2 linked regions of the Daphnia pulex genome follow. The protein of the gene in region 1 interacts with the protein of each later gene in a pairwise test. Links are inferred from orthologs where the notes say so. Each region holds a gene or a part of one and is shown on either strand. Other genes may lie near its edges.

The links.
Region 2: the proteins of homeotic protein ultrabithorax-like (region 1) and fork head domain transcription factor slp2-like interact in a protein complementation assay, tested with the Drosophila melanogaster proteins (2 studies listed by BioGRID). The link is inferred for Daphnia pulex from reciprocal best matches to the Drosophila melanogaster genes Ubx and slp2.

What each region holds. Positions count from the first base shown.
Region 1 is NC_060024.1:12,332,367-12,342,803, forward strand, and holds the start of homeotic protein ultrabithorax-like, read left to right. Parts: upstream 1-4,071; 5' UTR 4,072-4,831; intron 4,832-9,410; exon of another isoform or gene 9,411-9,685; intron 9,686-10,437. UniProt on the Drosophila melanogaster protein: Sequence-specific transcription factor which is part of a developmental regulatory system that provides cells with specific positional identities on the anterior-posterior axis. Binds the consensus region 5'-TTAAT[GT][GA]-3'.
Region 2 is NC_060021.1:10,365,762-10,376,240, reverse strand, and holds fork head domain transcription factor slp2-like, read left to right. Parts: upstream 1-5,030; 5' UTR 5,031-5,426; coding exon 5,427-7,031; 3' UTR 7,032-7,574; downstream 7,575-10,479. UniProt on the Drosophila melanogaster protein: Transcription factor involved in segmentation. May function primarily as a segment polarity gene. Different levels of slp activity seem to be required in different segments.

The DNA.
Region 1 (10,437 bases):
GCCATCGACTTGATAACAAGCTGGCAACGAAGAGGTTCAAAAAAAAAAAATAAAATATGAAACTATCAAGAGAGAAAAACCTGCGCAAAGCATCGCCGTCCCCTTTTGTGTTTTGCAACCAATCGCTTCTTTCCGACCTCTTCATTATTACTGGGTCCCGTTTTTTTTTTCTTTTCTGGCCGCCAACAAAATCATCATCATCATTCATCAGCCAAGATGATGGGGGCCAGTTTGAGAGGGGTTGAACGGAACTTTAAGTTGGATGGCTTCATCCAACTAGTTACTCATTAAAGAGGGCGACAGAAGCAACAACAAAAGCTGAAAAAAAGACACACGTCGTTTAAAAAATGAGGAACAAAAAAGAGTTCGTGATCGCAACTTAACTTTGGACCCTTTCGGCGTGATCGTGAAAGAAGAAGGAGAAGGAAAATAACGACGCCGATGCAAGACAATGAACCGATATGAACCCCGCAGGGTCCATCCACAAACCTTGAACTAAACCTTCCCCCTTTATTTTGTTCCCATCCAAACGTCTCAATTTAAAATGGAGAAGAGAAAAAACCCGAAAAAAGATATAAACAACTTTTCTTCTTCTTCTCCTTTGGTAATTTATTTAGGTAGAGATAGTAGCAACTAACGTTTTATAGAGGAATTTAAGTCGCTAATCTCTTTGTCTCTCCATCCATCTGACGGTATGCTGGCTTCATTATCTGAAGAAAACCGCCGGCTCCGCTACCAAGAGGAATTATCTCTTTGCCTGTTGTTGTGCGCTCGTAAATCGACCAACAAGAGAGAGGAAGCACTTTTGCTATACACCACTATACTTGCCACAGCTACAACACGTTTATGAAAATGCATTTTGAACTTACCATCTGCCGATTGTTGTTCCTTCGTCGGCTTTCTCAGTCCAGCAGCTCCATCCAATGGATTCCACAATCTTTTAAAAAACAAAAGAAAATAAAATGATTATTATTGGACAAACTCAATCAAAAAGAAATCGCATTCAAACTGTTTTGAAATTTCATTCGCTACGGTAATTGGAAGCTTAAAAGCTCGGCCATTTCAGTATTTCATCAAGGTGCGGTCGAGATGAATAGATCAACTTTAAACCCCCCAAAAAAAGGAGTGTGAAAAAGTGAAAACGAGAAAAACAATTTCAATTTGGAAACACAAAAAAACCAAAAGGATATAACAATAAAAAGCGAATAGGCCTAGAAGTGAGCCCCCCATCTTATAACCCCCTCTATAACCGATCGCCTATTTCCATGAAGTAGCCAGAGCCACTATATCCAGCCTACACATGAGAAACTATAAGGAGAATAGCCATTTCGGGGCGGTTTTATTTTTATTTTTACGATGATTTTTATGATATTGACTGGGTTTTTACTCCGCCGCTTCTGCTGCTGCTTCTTCTTCTTCCTTCTGCTGGTGCGGTGGTGTTATACAAGAGTCGTGAAAATAAAATAAAAAATAAATTGGGGAGAGAGAGAGAGTGAGTGAGGGAAAAGAAAAACCAGAACACACCAAAGTTTTCTCGTCTCTTGTCAAAATAAAAACGCGCACCGCTCGCGCTCATTTTCGCCTCTTTCTCTCACTGGAAATAGTCAAAAAAAAATTTTAACGATTATTTCCCCTCTCTCGAGTGACTCAAACTTTTATTTTATTTGTCTCTCCCCGTGTTGCGTCACACGCCATAAGACACTTGTCTAGCGGCAGTAATCTTTAAAGCTCTGCAACTTCTTAAAAACCAAAGGAAAAACAAAAGACAAACAAACAAAACGGTGCGCTATAAAGTGACAGACTGGCCACAACGACCACTTGAGGTCTTGTGCTCTAAGAGGGGAGGCTAAACAAATAAACAAAAAAAAACAACACGTAAAAAGCAAAAGAATAATAATAATAAAAAAACAAACGGCAAATAAAATAAAACGACGGTGTACATATTGAATGTAATGGCGTCCATTTCAGCCGCCGTGATGACTCTAAATAGCATAGTCGTTGATTCCTTGGCGAACGGTAGCGCTTGAAAAATAAAAGGGATAAAAGAAAGAAGAAGAAGAAAAAAGGGAACCGTCGTAAAGATGATGATGATGACGCCATCGACCATACAAGAAGAAGAAGAGAAAAGAGCCAGCCAAAGTTACACACACACACACACACATCCAGCAGCAGCAGCGGGGGGCTTTTTTCTGTGTTGAAGTATCTCGTTCGGGATAGGATCGTTTCGTCGAGTCTTTATATACACACAGACACTTGCACGGTGCCTGCCCTCATCAAAATGACCCTAATAACTTGATTGAATTGCGCATAAACATCAAGTCGAATAGGCCATCAAAAGCCCTCGGAAAAAAAAGAACCATCTCTTCTCTTCTAGCAGTGGCTCAGACTATATCACGGCCGGCTCTCGACACACCATAGAAAACGCGTGTAACACACACACACACACACACACATTTTTTATTATTATGATGATGATTATTTTGTGTTTGTGTTTCCTTTTTTTTTCTTTTAGTTTTGGTTACACCGTCGCCGTCGTCGTGATTGCTGAATCACATCCGATGTGTTTTATAGACAAACAACACAACTCCTGCCGCTGTGAAAATGGCCCATTGCTGATATTGTTATTGCCCATTTGGTGGTTTTGTTATAGAAACGGACGTTTTATTTATTTTTTTTCTTTCTTTCAACTCACACAACAATCAAGAAGAACTTATCCATCAATCCAAACGGGCAATTCAACACAACAACGGCCTTCACACAGCATTGGTTGACAAATAACGGCAGCAGCTCATTCCTGTTCATCATTTCCCAACGAGAGAAAGACACGAAGCAGAGAGAAAAAAACAAAAATACAGCGATAGCAATTGTAACTTGTAATTGTCTTGAATTTTCTTTTGGCATGACAAGATGCAATTGTAAAAAAAAGAGAAAATACAAGGAGTCATAGATTACTTTCTATATTTATTATTTTGTTTTTCCTTCCCCCTCAAATTAAAGTTGCTGCACTGAAAAAAATCAAATAAAACATAACCAGTGCGGGTTATGTAGGCCTCCCAAAATGTTTCAACTCAAATTCTTAACTCTCTCTCCGGCTGTATTCGAAGGCCGAATCCAAGTTGTAAAAAAAAATAGGGGGGACGACACATCCAGCAGACTTTGTGTGTAAGCTTAATACTACGTGTCTTATATTTTAGGCCTAGAAAAGCGACAAGAGTTTGAAAAAAGGGGGGGCTGGATAGCGGATCCCCACCAATATAACCCCTTGTATAAAATCTACCAAGAGAGCGAGAGAGAGAGTGGTGGTGGTATATTCATATATTGGATTCCTATGGGCCTTCCCTTAAGAGTTATACAATCTCTCCTGTTATTGGGAAAGAAACCTTTTTTCTTTCTTGTGTATTGCGCTGGATATATATAACCCCAAAAAGAAGAGAAGGATGGAACATAAAAATTGAAGGCAAGAAGAAGAAGAAGAAGGAAAGAAAAGGGACAGTCTTGGCGGCGGATAACTGCTCTAAAACGTAACCCTTATCTCTTTTCTCTTGGGTCTCCCCCCGAAAAAACAACCATGGGTTGGGCGCAACCGGCACATACACACACACACATAGTGCGCATACACACACACACCATATAGGCCCTGGCCAATTTTTATTTGGGGTGGGCATCCTCCTCTTCCCAATAAAACGCGGAGAAGAGCAAAGAAGCCAAAGAGTCGTAAAAAATGCATATCCCTTCTTTGACTCTGTGTGTCCTTCGACCCTTTTATACACGTATATATACATCTATCCTATCCGTGTGGCTATGCAAGAGGTCCCCCCCGATATCACCCGTTTTTCTTCCGACGCAACACCCGACTGACCCCCCAATTCTTCGCAATATAACCGTCACAGACTCACACAGCCGAAGACGAGGGGGTAAAAACTTCTCTAGCTGGAAAGAGGGGGTTATAAAAAAAAGAACGGCTGTAACAATTTCCTTCGGAGTATAACCCCAATAACATCTCCAGCATCTTTGTATAACTTTCCCCACCAGAAGAAGAACTGGAAGAAGAAATAGAAAAAAGGACACGCCACATTCTTGAGCGACTCCTCCTTGATCGGCCGTGGCATGTCCTTCTCACAATCACATCAGTTCCGACTCTGAGGCTTGACCGATCACAATGTTTTGAGCAGCTCGATCACAGAGACATTGTCCTTCAAAAAAATCAAAGTCAAAACCCGATCGAAAAAAAGTTTCGTTGCCCATTCCGTCCATCTGATGGACTCGCAGACAGTGGAGCGCTGTCCGTCCAGCAGCGCTTGACGACACAGTAGTTAGTTAATAGCTAGTCTCAATATATAACCCAGTCAGTGAGTTGGTGATCGTTCAGGTGCAACTAGAAAAAACCCAACAAAAAACAACAACGTTGGACATCCGAAAATATTTCGTCGCAATCATTATCGGCATCCATCCATCCATCCGTCTGGCTCCCACAAGTGCGGACCTTGTTACCTTTTTTCGTGCGTGTGTTGTGTGAGTGTGTGTCTGTGTTTCGAGGCCTCCAGAAAAGAAAAAATTGTTGAGGTAGTCGAGAGAGAGAGAAAGAAAGAGAGAAAGAGGAGTCGAAAATTGCGAGTTTCCTGTCTGTTGGTTGAGCGGAAAGTGCCGGGCCGATGACGACGCCGAAGGACGGCCATTTCCACGCCCGACGCCAACGGATTACGCAAACCGCGACTACTCCCTCCTCCTGCTCCGCCGCCGTCTTCTTCTCTCTTTCTCCTTATTTTATCGCTTCATTTCCACAAGAGATTCGGCAAAAGAAAACGCAACTAAGAGCCGCAAAAAGTCCTGGGTGAGTTCACAGTTCTTTTTATCCTCCTTTTAAAAAATAATTTCCCGCGCTAGTCATACATTAGCGAATAACCTTATCGCCAAACTCCGAGCGATTGGCACCGACCAATAGATTGACTCTCAAAACAGCAGTTGGATCGTCGATTTCAACACAGTTACAAATTTTTCAAAAACATTTTTTGGGTGGTTTTTAAAAGTTAAAAGGGACTCGGCGGCGATGTTCAAGGAGCCTCCCAGGAGTTGTAGGCCTAACGCTAAAGGCGGCGGTTCAAATGGCTAATAAAAAACTTTTAAAAAGCACTTTGTGACGAATTGTGCCCAACTGTTTACCCCAAAACACATTACAGGCCTATCATTCTTCACCATTTTCTCTCTCTCGAAAAGTCAACTAACGATATACTATATATTTGTTGATTCAATTTGTTGGTATCGAGAATAACCGCTGAAACGCTTCGAAAGATCATTAGGAGCCCCCCTCACCGAAATAGGCCTAAAGGTCACCGTATAGGATATACTATCTAGTCTGCGCATACATGTAGCCTACTAAAAACCGACTTGGATAAATCATTCTTGGTAATAGCAGCAAGCCAGCACACGCGTATTGATGATTGTTTTACTTTTTATTTTATTTTTTCCCGGGGAATAACGAAGAAAACAAACTGCGGTCGATGTTTTTTTTTTGTTTTTGTTTTTTTCTCTTCTTCTTCCTCCGTTCGTGACTATTGGTGCGAGTTTTTTTTTTGGGAAGCCAGCGTCGGCATAACGAAGTATTTATCCCTTTTTATTTTTTTGCCCGTCTTTCCTTTCTTCTCCAACTTCTCTCCCAGTGACTTTCGGTTGGTGTCGACTCACGACGCCCAAATTACGTGTGTAGATTAGAGAAGAGACGACACACAAACAGACAAACACAGACACAGCGGCGCGCAAAGTCAAGCCAAGTATGCCGCGTGAATGTTATATAGGACCGGACGGGGTGGAGCGGCGGCCGCAAGAGAAGAAGAAAAAAACCAAACCAAACAAAAATGACTCCAGTAGAGTGAAAAGAGAGCGCCCAGCAACGTCGACGGCTATACTAAAACCTACACTTCTCTATACGCATAAGAAATATCAGTAATATGTAATTTAGTCAGAGCTGCTGCTGCTGCTGCTGGCTGCCCAATTTCTTGCCGTCTTTACGCACAAGTCGCGTTTCGTAACAACATTACACAACGGCGGCGGCGGCGGTTCCATTTCCCACACACGGCCCCAACAGTCCGTGTTTTCTTTTTCCTTCTCATTTAAATGACCAAATAAATAAATACATGTTGACTGAAATGTATATCCACATCGCGATGTGCATATATACTCGAGTAGTATACATACAGCCAGAGAAATATGCGTGTTAATGCTTCCAGTATATACATACGTACGTATATATACTACATATACTCAGAGCGTACGAATATAATCATGATAATTATCTGGGCGTCGTCGACTTCTTCTTCTTCAGTTCGGTGGCTTCGACGTGGTGGTGTTTGTCTACTCTACGACATCTAATACAGAAATCTTATAGCTACTGCCTAGCCAGCCCATAACTACACATGTGTACAGTTGGGATATATACTTGCTAGTGGCCTACTATTTCTACCATTTCCGCCGAAGCTCGCTAGCTCTCAATGACTGCACTGTTTATTCTTCTTCTTCTTGTATAGTTCCTCACATCCGGCGCGTGAGGTCGGGAGGGGGGATATGCTATCTGGAAAATGTTATACATAACGTCAAACTGAAATCATAATAATCATAATCATAATAATAATAGGCCGTATACTAAATACATAAAATATAATGAATTGCGGGGGCCGTGATCAGGGCTGCGTGAAGCTGCCGGGACACGCGGAAAATAGAAAAGAAAAAAAAACAAGAGTCCCATAGCTATGGGAGCCGAGTAGAAGGCAGAAGACGAGAGTTCCGTTCCGCAGATATAACTACGGATGGTTTCCTTGTCTCCATAAATATTTCCCAAGTCGAAAGAAACAGAGGAAGGAGTCGGAAGAGAAAGAAGAAGAAGAGCTAGGGCGATCTATCGGATGCTGCTGGCAGCAAATCAAGAAGACGACGGCGACGACGTACAGTAGTAGTGTAGTAGCACTTTGGATGACTGCCATAACACAAAGTGAAATACTTTTGTAGACATCACCGTAGGCTCAAACTGGGAAAATCTATATTTATTCAAGGATTCACATCATTTTGTTTTAAAAAAAAAAAAGAAAAGTCATGAGACAAAAATTTACAAGATTTGGACAGGAAAAAAACAAAAGTGCCGGGCGCTATATGGAAAGGTTATTCGTTTTAAGGTTGTGACCCCCTTCGAAAAAATAAAAGGTGGTCATCGATATAAACTATCTTGGATAGAGGGGATACCTTGTAACTCTAATTTCAAATTGTTTTACTAGCTATCGGCTTTTGTTTTTTTTATGGCCTCCCTTCGATTGAACCGAGAAGTTGCGTCTGATTGTGTCCTGAGCGAGAGTCGGTGAGGTACTCTCATGAGCGCCAAAGGACTCAAGGACGAAAGAGATTGTCAAAAAAGGGAAAAAATCCTTCATCCTCGAGTCTGGGACACAAACACAGGTCTGCTGCCTATTCATTTATTTATAAGCTCGCTCAGATTCTAGAGTGCGCATAATAGTCTAATATACAAAGTTATACTGCTATCAGAGAAGTAGGATACCTATAGGCCTATTTTCGATCCTCCCTTTCCAGAACACCCTTGACATGGGAGAGCCAACAAAATAGGGGGTCCCTTTCGCTATAGTGTCGAGGCTCTGCACGTCAAAGCTCCGCCCATCGCCGGCAATAGCGCAGCCAATAAAAAGAGGGATAACGGCAGCAGTAATGGCCGCCGAGAAGCCGCCGCCGCCGCCGCTGCCGCCCAGCATTTTTCTTTTTCTTTTTTCGCCGTGTTGGCCCGAAAAGAAGAAGAAGAAGAGAGCCAAGAAGAGATTCTGCTGCTGGCACGGCCTATATATATACACACACACACACATCCTCTATGAATTTAGAAAAGAAAACGCGCGCTGTGCTCGACCGCAATAAATCACCACGCCAGCTAACAAACATGCAGACACACTCAAGTCCCGACTGAATAGAAAATGAATAATTTTTTCTTCTTCTTCTTCTACGAGAGAAGAAGAAATTTCTTAGCTGGTATTCTCTCTCTCCATAGCAGATGCTTCTTCTTCTTGTCTGTTCCCAAAGGGGGGAAAAACAACTCCCTTTTTCTTTCTTTTTTTGAGATTTTGATTGGATGAACCCCAAAAAGTGATTTATTCACAATCAGTTTACTCTCTCTCTCTCTTGAAAAAAAAAAAAAATTGGATGGATGACGCAAGAACTAAATCAACCGAACCCGGCGCATAGAGAAATTAAAGGCATCTATACTACACAGCTTACACTGAGTGAGAGACCATGACGGTTGAAAATCATTGCACGGTTAAGTTACTCATGGATATAACCCTACCCCCCTCTTACACTGGGTACGGCCGCGTGCGTTTTTTTTTATAGGTATATAGGTGTATATGTGGCGGCATTGTTACTCGACTGGCCGCCTGAGTTGTTTGTACACACACCGGTGGATATATACTCCACTGCCGAAGCTCTTTTTTTATTTTTTTAATAGAGTCATTAAGGCTCCATATAAAGGAATAAGAAGAAAAACGGTCGGCGGAGCAAGAAGAAGAAGAAGAAGTTAAAAAAAAAAAAAAAAACGCGCGCGCACAACGAGACAAATAATAATAACAATGATAATAATCATCATCATTATCAACACAATCATAAAAAAAAAGAACGAGCCGAGCCCGGAATCGATGGGGAATCGAGCGCCGGTAGGCGGGTACTCACGAAATGACCACCCTCCTCCTTTATTACGAAAACAACAAAATTCGTCGAATTTCTTTAGACACAAGGAACCCCGAAAAAATAAATAAATAAAAAATAAACTCAAAGACAAACTGACCCGAGGAGCCAAAGCTGGCCAACAAGAAAAAGAAGACATTATCGCCTCCTATGTTATCATTTTCTCCCACTCGGGAGAATTTTAGTTTGTAATTTCCGTGTTGTTTGTGCGCCCTTTTTTCTTCTTTTTTTCGTAAATGAAGTAGCAAGCGCGTAATGAAGCGATCCGCTTTCATAGTCTCTCAACGACGCGATTGCACGCCAGTCATCCCATCCGAGCCGGGCAAACAACCAACGGACGCGTATACAACATCAGTATATACCGACGGCTAGTTGTTGTAATTACAAAGGAGAAATGCGCGTGGTGGTGGACTATATGGTGGTGCCCGCAAGTGCTCATTCAGATTGGATTGCACTGTGTGTGTGTGATATTGCCGGCCGTTCGTATTTTCCCCTTCGCCTTTGGCCAGTAGGAAGAGAAGAAGGGGGAACAGAAAACGGGCAAGATATTATTAAGGGCGCTAGATGAGCGCGTGGCCGTGTATGTGTGTGCAACATACTAGTCGTTGCGGCGGCCATTTTGGACGCTATTACACGCCCCGCCCTGACTGTTTTCCCTCCGACTCTTGTATAGTAGTAGCGGTGCTGGTCTAGCCCAAGTGGTGGTGGTGGTAAGAGCAGTTTCAGTCCCTAGTAGTGGCCCCCCTCCATAGTCCAGAGCCAAGCAGGAGAGACGGCCGTCCGTCCTATAGTTACATCTGGCGCCGCGGCCCCAATAGGACGCAATTCTTGACTTGTGTGACTGGTCGAATAGCCGACGCAGCAGGAAAACAAAAAGAAAAAGAAAAAATAAGAAGAACAAATCAACTCCGCGACATCTTATTATTACCGAAATTACAACAGCGACAGCAAAATCAGAGCGGTAAGGAGCCAAACAATCAATACAAGTTTTGTTTTGTTTAATTGAATTAGCGTAGTTCATTGACGAAAACAGTTGTTGCCCAGTTATCCGTGTCATTACTATAGATATGATGGCTCATCGTTAAACGTGTAAGATTGTCGTGTAAAAAAAGATTCGAGTTGATTGCCTATATAACCTAACGGGTCTACATAAGGCGGCCGCCCCCTTAATTTTTTCCAAACGGTCCATAAAAATCCCGAAAATATGGGGAACCTTGCTGCTACTGCCACTGCTTTTGATGGCCATCAAACAGCGTGCGCCTCTCCATCTCTTATTCAGTTTTTTGTTTTTTGTTTCTCTCCTCTCATCTTTTTGATGGCCACTTCTAACCGTCACTTTTTCTTTTTAAAAGCCAGTCAAGAAAAGAATTCCGCCATCGCATATAAATAGCTCCACAATTGTCAGACAAAACGAGCCGTTTCTACGTCGATTATCTGGCAATTTATAGACAGGGTAGACTCGACTTGAATACAATCGCATTCGTAAAAATAAAAATGGCCGCACAAACTTGTTGCCTGTTTTTATTTTATTGTTTTTTGGCTTCAAAAGGGATTGATTCGAGGAGTCGCATCAAACGGAAAAAAAGAGGCACTAACGTTGAAAAGAAAACAAGCTGCATTTCTTCCTCAAACAGCAGAGATAAATAAATCCGAGCCAATGTTCTTCTTCTTGTACGACTCTCGGCGAAACGTCGTACATCATTCAAGAGTTTC
Region 2 (10,479 bases), on another chromosome or scaffold:
GCCAGTGTGTGTGTATACGTCTAACATCTCCAGCTGGGTGAAAAGAGAGAAGAATCTCTACACAACACGCTGTTGTTGTTGTTGAAGTTGATTTATTTAGTTGGAAAAGGGCGCCGCCTTAAATATTATTTCGAATTTTTTTTTTCGTTTCTTTGGCTTCGCTATAAGTTTCGCCTTTCTGGGAGCGACGCTATTCCTCACTGCGAGAAAGATTGACAGCACCACAAGCGTTTGTCTTTGTATTTATCTGAGCTGCGGACCGAATGACTTTTGGGAGAACAAGAGAATAAGCTGAGGCTGGCTGCTGGGCCCCAGCAAACATTAGTTTGCGTGTCATGTATGGAAAGACGAGTTGGCTGCTGCTGGAGGAGAAACAGGAATGACTAACAAGAGTCACGCCTATCTTTCTCTAGAAGCTCTATACACACATAGTGTGGCGTGTATGTTTCTATTTCATCTGACTACTGGCTGACCACCACCATACCACAGCTCCGTGTGAAGAAAAACGAATATATTTATGCATACGGGCTATAGCTGGAAGAAGATTAGATCGCGTTTCACCAAGAGACAAACACACACCAACTGGGGAAAGAAAGAAAGAAGACCGCGCCCCCCTTTTGGTGATGCTGCTCTATCCCAAAAACCGTCACATCGTTTAATCAGCTGCTGGCTCTTCCTATCCACTGGTTTTTCTTTCTGGGTTGACTCTGTTGGAGTTGTCACTCGTTTGAACCTCAGCGGCAAAAAGCGGAGAGAACGTCTTTTTCTCTTGAGTAGCGCAGTGTCGGTGAAATTGAAAAACGATAGCCTTAGTGGAGGATCTACATCAAGACATTGTGTCTGTGTGTGTGTATAGTTTAGACGTTGGTAAACAGCTGACACACACTGGTCGAGATGACTATCAGAAAAGGGGACCAAACTTTGAGATGGAGACATTTGAACTGAAACGTCCAGTTGTGATAATATCCGCCTTCTAATAATCGATTCAAATCTTAGACGCGCACGACTTTTCCAAAGGATTTATCACGCCCATCATACTATGTAATGTGAATTTGTTTATGACTTGGAAAAGTCCGGGTCGTTATATTTTTAAATTTTGACCAGGGCGGAAATCCATTCAGATCCATCGTCAAACTGACTGGCCGGCATAAGTGTGAACACAGAGCAGAGCGACCAGCCATGAATATATAGAGCTGTAAGAATTTTCAACTTATAGCAAATATAGACATTGAAGGGGGGTCGACAGAATAAAAACTGGGGGTTCAAAAAAGAGAGGAAGCCATCATCCAATAGTAGAGAAATCAATCTTCTTTTGATTCCGGCAAAAGGCCTCAAACATTCAGCGAGCTGTGCTGAGCAGCACTGCAAAAGAGGAGAATATAATCGGACAACAATTGAACGAGTTCCAGTAGGGGACAAAAAGGAGAGTGGCCGTATACACACACAACAACAGTCAAGTGATCTAGGCCGATTTGAGCTTCTCTCTGTCCGTCTCTTCTCCTGCGTGCGCGCGAGTGGAACGAGCAGAGAATCAAAAAAGAGAAAAAAAGATCTCACGAGTGAACACAACTGTGTGTATAGGGCGACAATGGCAGCGTCGTTTGTACACGCCGCGTGGTTTCTGACCTGGAAGAAGAAAAACCATTCAGACAAAAATCAGAAGAAGAAGAAGAAGAGGACCTCTTCTTTTCAACTTCTTCCTTCTTCTCTCTTCTCCACATCTCGGTGCGGATGTGTATAATAACCCCAACTGCGGGGTTGACTTGTACTCATATCAAAAGAAGAGTCAACCATGCGAACCAAGGGACTCTCTACCACCAGTATCCGTCTGTATACTACATACATACGCAATATGGCCGGCTACTGGGCAGATCAGAGTCACAGAGTCAGCGCTTATTCAATACAAAGTGAACAAACACCGTGTACAGTAGACTATATATATGGGGGAAAAAACAGTAGGGAAAAACGGAACCAGATCTTCATTGGCCAGGATATGTGTACAGCAGACTAAACAACGTTTAATCCTCCATTCTTATCGGCGGGCCTGTAGAATTTGTGCAACGAAAGAAAAAAGGACAGAAAAAAGGGGGTTGCAATATGGTTGCATGCTTCAGCACCCTCAGACCAGGGACAAAAAAATACACGTACACACAACATAGAGAGAGAGCTAGTATATGTATATGTGTGTGTACCTTCCACAACAAAAAAGCTGGAATCAAAAACACACCAGGACATTTATATAAAAACCCCCTGCTGCATATCCAAGAACCTTTAGGGGACGATGAATTTCCGCCATTATGCTTTTTTTTCTTCTTCTTCTATTTTCTATAGTCTATGTGTGTGTGTGTGTCTACCCTCTTTTTTCTTTTTATTATTCGGCCTGCGGTTTGTCACAAGGACAAATCGGCCAGCACACACCGAGCCAACTATAATACAAGAGGGAGAGTTTTGAGCTCACACAAAGCGGATGCATGATTTCCTCCGCCGAGATGATCACTTCAACATGCATTTTATATCTTGTGGATGTATGGGAATATGCACGGGAATAAAAAATGAGGAGGTACCGGTGTGGCGGCAGGCTCCTCTCGGTAAAAAAATTGTTTTGAACATTGCACTTTCCTTCAAGTGTTTAAAATTCAAATATTTTCAAATGTGATGGTTTTCTACCCACAGAAAAAGTTGTGAGGTACAAAACAAAACAAGCCTGATCTGCAGTCGTTCGACTAATGAGATTTTTAGTGAACCCTGACTGAGAAAAAAAACAAAAACGGAGAGAAAACAGTTGCAGTCAAGAGTCAACCGCCTATAGCTCAGGAAGAAACATAGTCTGTGACTACGTAACGATTTATAACCAACCCCACCAAAAACCGCCAAAAAAGAAAAATAGAGATCAATTTTGTCTCCTACCTTTGTGCCTGGGAAATACAGCCAGGCATCTACTTCAGTTGCTCCATCCATCCGATGAAGAGTTAAATGACACCAGACGGGATAGGGTAAAAAGGGTGTCCCTCGTGAATACACCCACATTCACATGGGCGTACACAACACATTTTGAAGAAAGAGTTAGAGAGATCCATAACTCAATTGACAACGGACGTTTCTCCAATTGAAGGGGATGCTGTTTATCTGAATGAAAAATAAAAAATGGGTTACGAATAAATATTGAAACAACAAGTCAGGTAAAGATGAAAATGAAACACTGATGGGTAAACCTTGATTGTTAATAAATGGAAGAATTTAAGGTTTAAATTTAACACACTGCATTGATGCAAGTCATGCATCATTCAAATATGTGGCAGGTCACAGGAAAAAGTAACGAAAATCATTACCCAATCGATTAACCTGAGATTGTTGCTGGTGACAGGTTGCCAATACCTGCCCAAGAAAAACTTGCAAATTGTGTAGTCATGATGGCTCTGGTCTCAAATCTGTAAAAAAAGAAAAAAGGGTTACATAGTACAACAAACTGCCATGCATCAACAGGGCAATCACATGGCAAATGCTAGTCAGAACTAACAATTAACAAATTTGGAACTGGTTTATCTCTTCTATAGCTTCCACAATCATTGTAATAGTATTCTTAGTATTTTTTACCCGCTTAACAGCACGGAGTATAACAGTTATCAAAAAGAAATATAGGCTCTAAAAGAAATCTTGAACCATGCTTAAACTTTGTCTCTGCTTTGTCTTCCCGAAATTTTCAACTCAACAAGAGCAGACGAATTTTATTCTAATTAGTCATGCTTACGATAATAAAATATCGATTAGTAATTAGAATTTTATGATCAAAAATCAAAATCCAAACTGCTTAAAAACGACAAGGGAATAAGTTGAGGAAATAAGTTTTAGTTTAATTAAATTAAATAAGTCAAGGGTGGGGGGACTGTGAGTCGGCCATGTGAGAAAGAAAAAAGGAAAAAAATCCAATTCTTTTCCACCACTGGCTCTTTTCTCTCCAACACTTTTAATTCGACTCAACAATCAACGTGAAAGGGCGCCCGTCGGTTTAACCGGTTCCAGTTTCATTCTCCAGCTCACAATCATTTTCTATTCTCTTGATTTATTTATTTCTGTTTTTCCAGCTGTGCAATTGACGAAACGATGCCAATTGATGCCGAAAGTTCAAACGGAATACAGACACGTCATTCATTCAATTTCAAAGTCATAAGACAATTGACGCCAACTTAACAAAATAAAAATAAAAATCTGAAAAGGCATCCAGCTTTGATCGCACTGATGGGATTTATAAGAATGATGGGGAGAGAGAAAAAAGTCAAAAGAAAGAAAAATACAAATACAAAAAAAACCTCTGGGAAACCGAGTGGAAAATGCCGTTGGAACCTCGTCTCAAAATATTAGAAAATATTTGTCAATGTTGTACGGCATAGAGGAGAGCCAAATGTGTGTGTGTACACCTACTCCGCATCTATAGCCGTGCCAAGTATAGAGACGTCTGAATGTGTACACTATGGATAGGATAAAATAGCCACACAACAAAAACACGTATAGGAGCAAGGATGGATGGATGGATGGATGGAAAGTGTAAACGAGGGGAGGGAGGTGTGTCCTGGAACATGGAGCTTTCTAACGCGTCTATACACGTATACACACAGTGTGTGTGTGTAGACAACAACAATAAGAGTATGAAGATGTTTCACGTCGGGGGGCTCTTATTTTTCCTGTACATACCCCGACGGGCGACGGCCCAGCAATTTTTCTCTCTCCTCCGCATCTGTGGGAACAAACCAGAAAATAAAATAAAAATAAAACAGGGAACCTCCCCTTTCCGTTCGAGCGAACGCTCCGCCCCCAGCCGGAGCTTCATTGGCGGCTGCCATGATGGTGGGAGGAGCCGGACCGGCCGCCGGAATGGTCTCCTTCCATCCAGCGAGAACGAAAAGGGGGGCGAGTCTTAAAGACGACCCTGGCCAAAGACCAACAACACACAACCAGCCCCACCAAAAAAGAACTTTAGGTCCCGCCCACCTGGCCAAACATTAAAACTGGGAGCCCATCTGTGGTGTGGACATTATTCGGCTAGCCAGCGCTGATCAGGACAGACGTACTCTTCTTGTTTCGTTGCCCAGCAAAGTTTTGGTTTTTATTTCCTCTCTCTCAGCAGTTGTCAACTATTGACCTTTATCTCAAATTTTGGCCAGTTGTTGTTGTTGCCATCCGTCAATTCGGGTTGTTATTAATAACTGACAGCTGTCCGTCACATTCGCATCTCTGCCCAGACTACAAGTGTGAACTTGCGACCAAGTTTAGTTTTTTTCAACAGCAAAAGTGCCATCGTTATTGAATTTTGTGTCCAGCATCGAGAGGCAGCAAAGGCCGTTAGCGAAACGCTGGACTCGCTTCTCGAACTGGCTTCTGATCCCAGCACTCCCAGGACGACGACGACGACGGGCAGCAGCAGTGGTAAGATGGTCAAAGTGGAGGGCCCCCAATCTCTGCCACAACCGGCCATGGCCCGCGCTCCGCCGTCCTTCTCCATTTTGTCTCTCCTGCCGGAAACGGCCGTCCACCACCGTCACCACGAGACGGCCCCGTACCTGCACCACCAGCAACAGCAGCAGCACCGGCCCGACTCGTCCACCTCCTCGACGGCCATGAAGGAGAACGTGTACAGTGACAACAGCGAAGTGGACGACGTCTACACCGACGAGGAGCAGGACCTGGACGTCGAGGGCATGGAGGCCGTCAGTCCGTTGCGCTCCGACGAGAGCGAAGAGGAGGCCAGTCTCAAGGATCTCAACTGCTCCTCAGAGTCGTCCAGCACCATCAACCTGAGCAGCGGAGGCGGAGGCAACAACAAAGCCGACAAGCCGTCCAGCAAGAGCCACAAGGGCGTCAAAGGTGAAACGGGCGACGAAGAATGTGCGGATGGGCCGACCAAGACGTCCAGCAAGAGTTCCAGCAGCAATAAAAAGGACGGCCAAGACGAAAAGTCCAAGAAGAATGAGAAGCCTCCGTTCTCCTACAACGCCCTGATCATGATGGCCATCCGGAGCAGCGCCGAAAAGCGTCTGACCCTCAACGGCATCTACGAGTTCATCATGAAGAACTTTCCGTATTACCGGGACAACAAGCAGGGCTGGCAGAATTCCATCCGCCACAATTTGTCGCTCAACAAGTGCTTCGTCAAGGTGCCACGCCACTACGACGACCCGGGCAAGGGCAACTACTGGATGCTCGATCCGTCCAGCGACGACGTCTTCATCGGTGGCACCACCGGCAAATTGCGCAGGAGATCCACCGCAGCTTCCAGGTCCCGATTGGCCGCTTTCAAGCGCAGTTTCGGTTTCCCGTCGTTGGCCGGCTTCCCTGGCATGCCGCCCGTCCATCCCGGCATGGCGGCCGCCGCTGGATTCCACCCGGTGGCTCCCAATTCGGCCCATCATCCGGGATCGGTAGGCCAGCATCCGCATCATCCTTACTCGACGCCGACGGGAGCCTGGCCCGGTCTGGCCGCTTCGCTCTGCAATTCGGCGGCCGCTTTGTATCGCTATAGCACGGCGGTGGGTTACGCGGCCTCGGCCGGCTACGGCAATCTCCTGGCCCATCCGGGCAGCCATCCGTCGGCCCACCATCCGTCGCAAGTGCCAACAGCTCTGGGCGGCGGCTTCAGCTCGCCGTTGGCCGGCAACAACAAGATGGGCTCGATCGTCTCGACTCCGCCAGCTCACCACCACCACCACCCGGCGCACAGCTTCTCGGTTGAGCGGCTGCTGGGCTCGGCCACTTCCGACTCGCCCGTCCGCCACTCGGCCATGCCGCCCAGCTCGCAGCAGGCCATGGGCAGCTCGCCTTTCGGCATGCTAGGCCATCCGCTGTTGCAACAGGCGGCCGCCTACGCCGATTTTTACGGCCAGGGCCATCACCTCCGTTTCAACACGGGACTGATGGGCATGGGCCTACCACCGTCCGTCTCTCCCCAGCAGCAGCAGCAGCAGTTAGCCCGTTCCAGCTCGACCTCACCGCTGGCCGCCACTCCCACCTCGCCGCCATTGATCTCCAGGACCAGCTAGAAAAATCCGTCATGACGCGACGGACATCACCAAAATGACCCAGTTGACACACACATAATTGACTTGGCCGCTTGCGGTCTTGGTTAACTTATACATATGTAATACCGGATGGCTGGGTTCGAGCTACTTCCTGTCCATTTTTGTACATTGAATTGCGTCTCCTATTCAAGAAGATCAAAGTCTTGATCCGAATGGCTAATTCAATTCGAGTCTGCTCTCCAATCTCTCCTCACCTCTTCATCCTAATTATCAAACCAAACTCTTGAATTATATGGTTTCCGCGTCTTGAACCAGTTCTATTATTATATCCCCGAGTTCAATGTTATATTTGAGAAATGCAAGTAAATGTGCTCCCTCGCGTCTGTGTGTGTGTCTCCTGTACGTATTTGCAAAGACAAAGTTGATAGAGTCTACCTATTCAGTTGCCACTGTACTTGTACATAATTTATAACGATATTATTCATTCAAACTCCTCCCTCTCCCCAAACAAATGGATATGCGTGTCATCTCAGATCAATTACAAAGCGTGTTGAAAAAACAAACTAAAATCCAAACGTCTTTTGAGTTTACTTTATTTCATTTCAACTTTTAAACTGAATCGTTGGGGGTTGTGCCGTTTCAAAGGAATTCCAATCGAGTTTAGAAATTTTTTAATTTTTTTCAAGTTGGTTATTTCAACGGAAGCCATGGAAGATGATGATGAGACTTGCAGCTTTGATGAAATGATTACCGACGGCCGAGAGTGCTTGCTGGCCCGTGGGCGGCATAGTGGCATGTCTTCCAATCTCGTGCACAGTAGGCTAATTGCCTGGGCCGAAAGAGAGAAGAAGATGATGAGGTGTTAAGGGGGGGATCTGGTTATGTTGTACTACACCAAAAGGTGTGCCAGGACATTGATTAAGAGATAATTTATAGCGTCGGCTGCTGCTGCTGCTGGGCGGATCGAGTCAAAAGAGGAATATACACATATATAAACCCGTCTTCATCGAGATTATGGGAAGGATGGCAGCAGCAGCAGCAGCAGGAGAACTCCTATCTCTCTCAAGTCGAGTTCAAACCAACGCGTACGTATATTTTTTATTTTTATTTTTGTTTTCTTATTCATCGGCCGGTACACTATCTCTCTCTCATCAAGAACAAGATTTCGGAGTTTGATGGCTTATTCGGACAATTCCCAGTCGGCTTGTTGTTGAACAACACCAGAGGCCGCTTATTCCATCCATTTTAGAAGAGATCCAGCAGCAGCAGCAGCAGCCATATAAGAAGAAGAAAAACAGGATGATTAAGTGACTGTTAAAGTGTATAAAGCAGACCCAAAAGCGAGTCAGATACATGGTAGGAGAAAGATATTAAAAAAGAGAGAGATGCTGTGATGCTGGCAGCCACTCGGTGCGTCCATTTCTCTCATCACCCGACCTCCTTGATCAAATCTTTTCTTTTTCTATTTGACGTGTATAGTTGGCCCATAGATCCATAACACCCGGAAGAAAACTTGCGACCCCGCGAATCATTCATCGAAGCTTATAATAATTATTATAATATCAAAATTGTCTTTTTTTTCTTTTCCCCAACTGTATTACCCGCACTAGTGTGTATAGTTGAGGTGTATCAAGTCGATATAAAAAGCGGTAGGGTAGGGGAAAATGGCTGGCAGCAACAAGTCGACAGATTTAATGAAAAACGCTAATGATGTTACACAGAGGGCCAGCGCGCAACACAACGGACGCCCCACCGTGAGGGTTATAGTCGAATATGTGTAGACGTTAGGCAGTAGGTAGTAGGTAGAGAGGTGTAGATAGATATAGGCTGGTGGGGCTCTCCTCACACAACCACCAACCACCTCCTTTTTTTTTCTTTCTCCCACCTTCTTCACATGTTGTTGGTTCTCCCTCGACACTCTTATATGTTTGGTGGTGCTTGTGTGTGAAGAAGTTTTGCCATCGGGGCGGCGCGGGAATCCACACACACACTCTGCCGGTGCCAAGCTGTCTGGCCCGTTCACCACACCACAATTCTTATGTACAAATATATATTTTTTTATATTTTTTCTTCGGGTATTTCTTTTGTTATTTGACTTTTTTTTTTCTCTGCCAGGCAACAAGTGCCCTCGTCGGTCGTCCTCCCACCGGGGGAGGCTCTATATATTTCCTCTCTCATTCTCTTTTTCTTTTCAGTTCTTTTATTTTTTCCTTATGTTCATTCTCTTATACGCCAGCAGCCTGGAAAATAAGAGAGAGAAAAAATATTATTTAAAATATAATACAACAACCCAAAATATTAAAAAAAATGAATGTGTTGGAAGAGATAGAAAAGGAGCCGGGCAATTGTACATTTTGATTTTCTCTTTTGGGGTTGTTCCATCATCTCCGCCTCGATTCATTTTGGATTATTTGTAAGCTTCGCTATTATTTGTCCTTTTGAAGGGAATTGTATGGACGGCGATGCTCTTTCTCTCTCTGTGCATGGCCGACAGCGACAACAACAACAACAACAACAATTGGCCCGGGATAATAATCAACTCGGAATAGAAAAGGAAATGGCCGCATCCAAATGAGGAGAGAGAACTGCAGCTGAGTTTTCTTAACCAACCAATTGCCGTTCCCTTTTTTTCTGTTGTTGTTGTTGTTGTTCCCAATTCTTTTCCCCGTCAAAATTTGTTCCCAGTGTCAACTGGGAATATGCAAAACATTCGGGAATAACGAGGATAACGATGTCGGCCGTTTCCCATCCATCCGGAAGCGCGGCTTTTTATCCAGTTCACCGACTCGATGATACACGTAATAGTATAACCAGCCCCCCTTTCTATTAGCTAAGCTGCATTCATCGTTTGTGTACTCTACACCTTGCGTGCAAGTAAATGGCCGCCAGTACACCATCCAACGATGGAATCCAACGTCCACCTCCAACGGCGATTTATTTATTTTTTTCACCTTTTGTTTCTCATTTCTACAAGTGTGTACGTACGTACGTACGTGTGTGTTATTTCGTTTCTCTTTCGCTGGCTGTTGGCTGCTGTTGTGTGCGTGTATTTTTATTACCCCGGCGGTTATAATCCACGCCAATTGGTTATTGACCATATACTCATTCCGGTGTTGCCGTAAATTCTCAATGGATACCATCCATTAAAAAGAACAAACAAGACAAAAAAAAAAACCCAGAAAGAAAGAAAGAAACACACACAAGAAAAATAAAATAAAATAAAAGGAGGAATGCCTTAACCGCATTTGGATTCGGACCGCGCTTCTATGGGTCTCTCTCTCTATCTCTCCGGTCCGGCGTACTCGGTCACTTAATTGCAGAAACGCGCGTGCAGGTTCACCGGCTTGCTGGTGTTCACGAAAGAAAATAAAAGAAACAAAACATGGGCAGGGAAAAAATATTAAAAACCCTGGAAGAAGAAAAAACAAATAAAACAAACAAATAAATAAATAAAATAAAATATAAAACA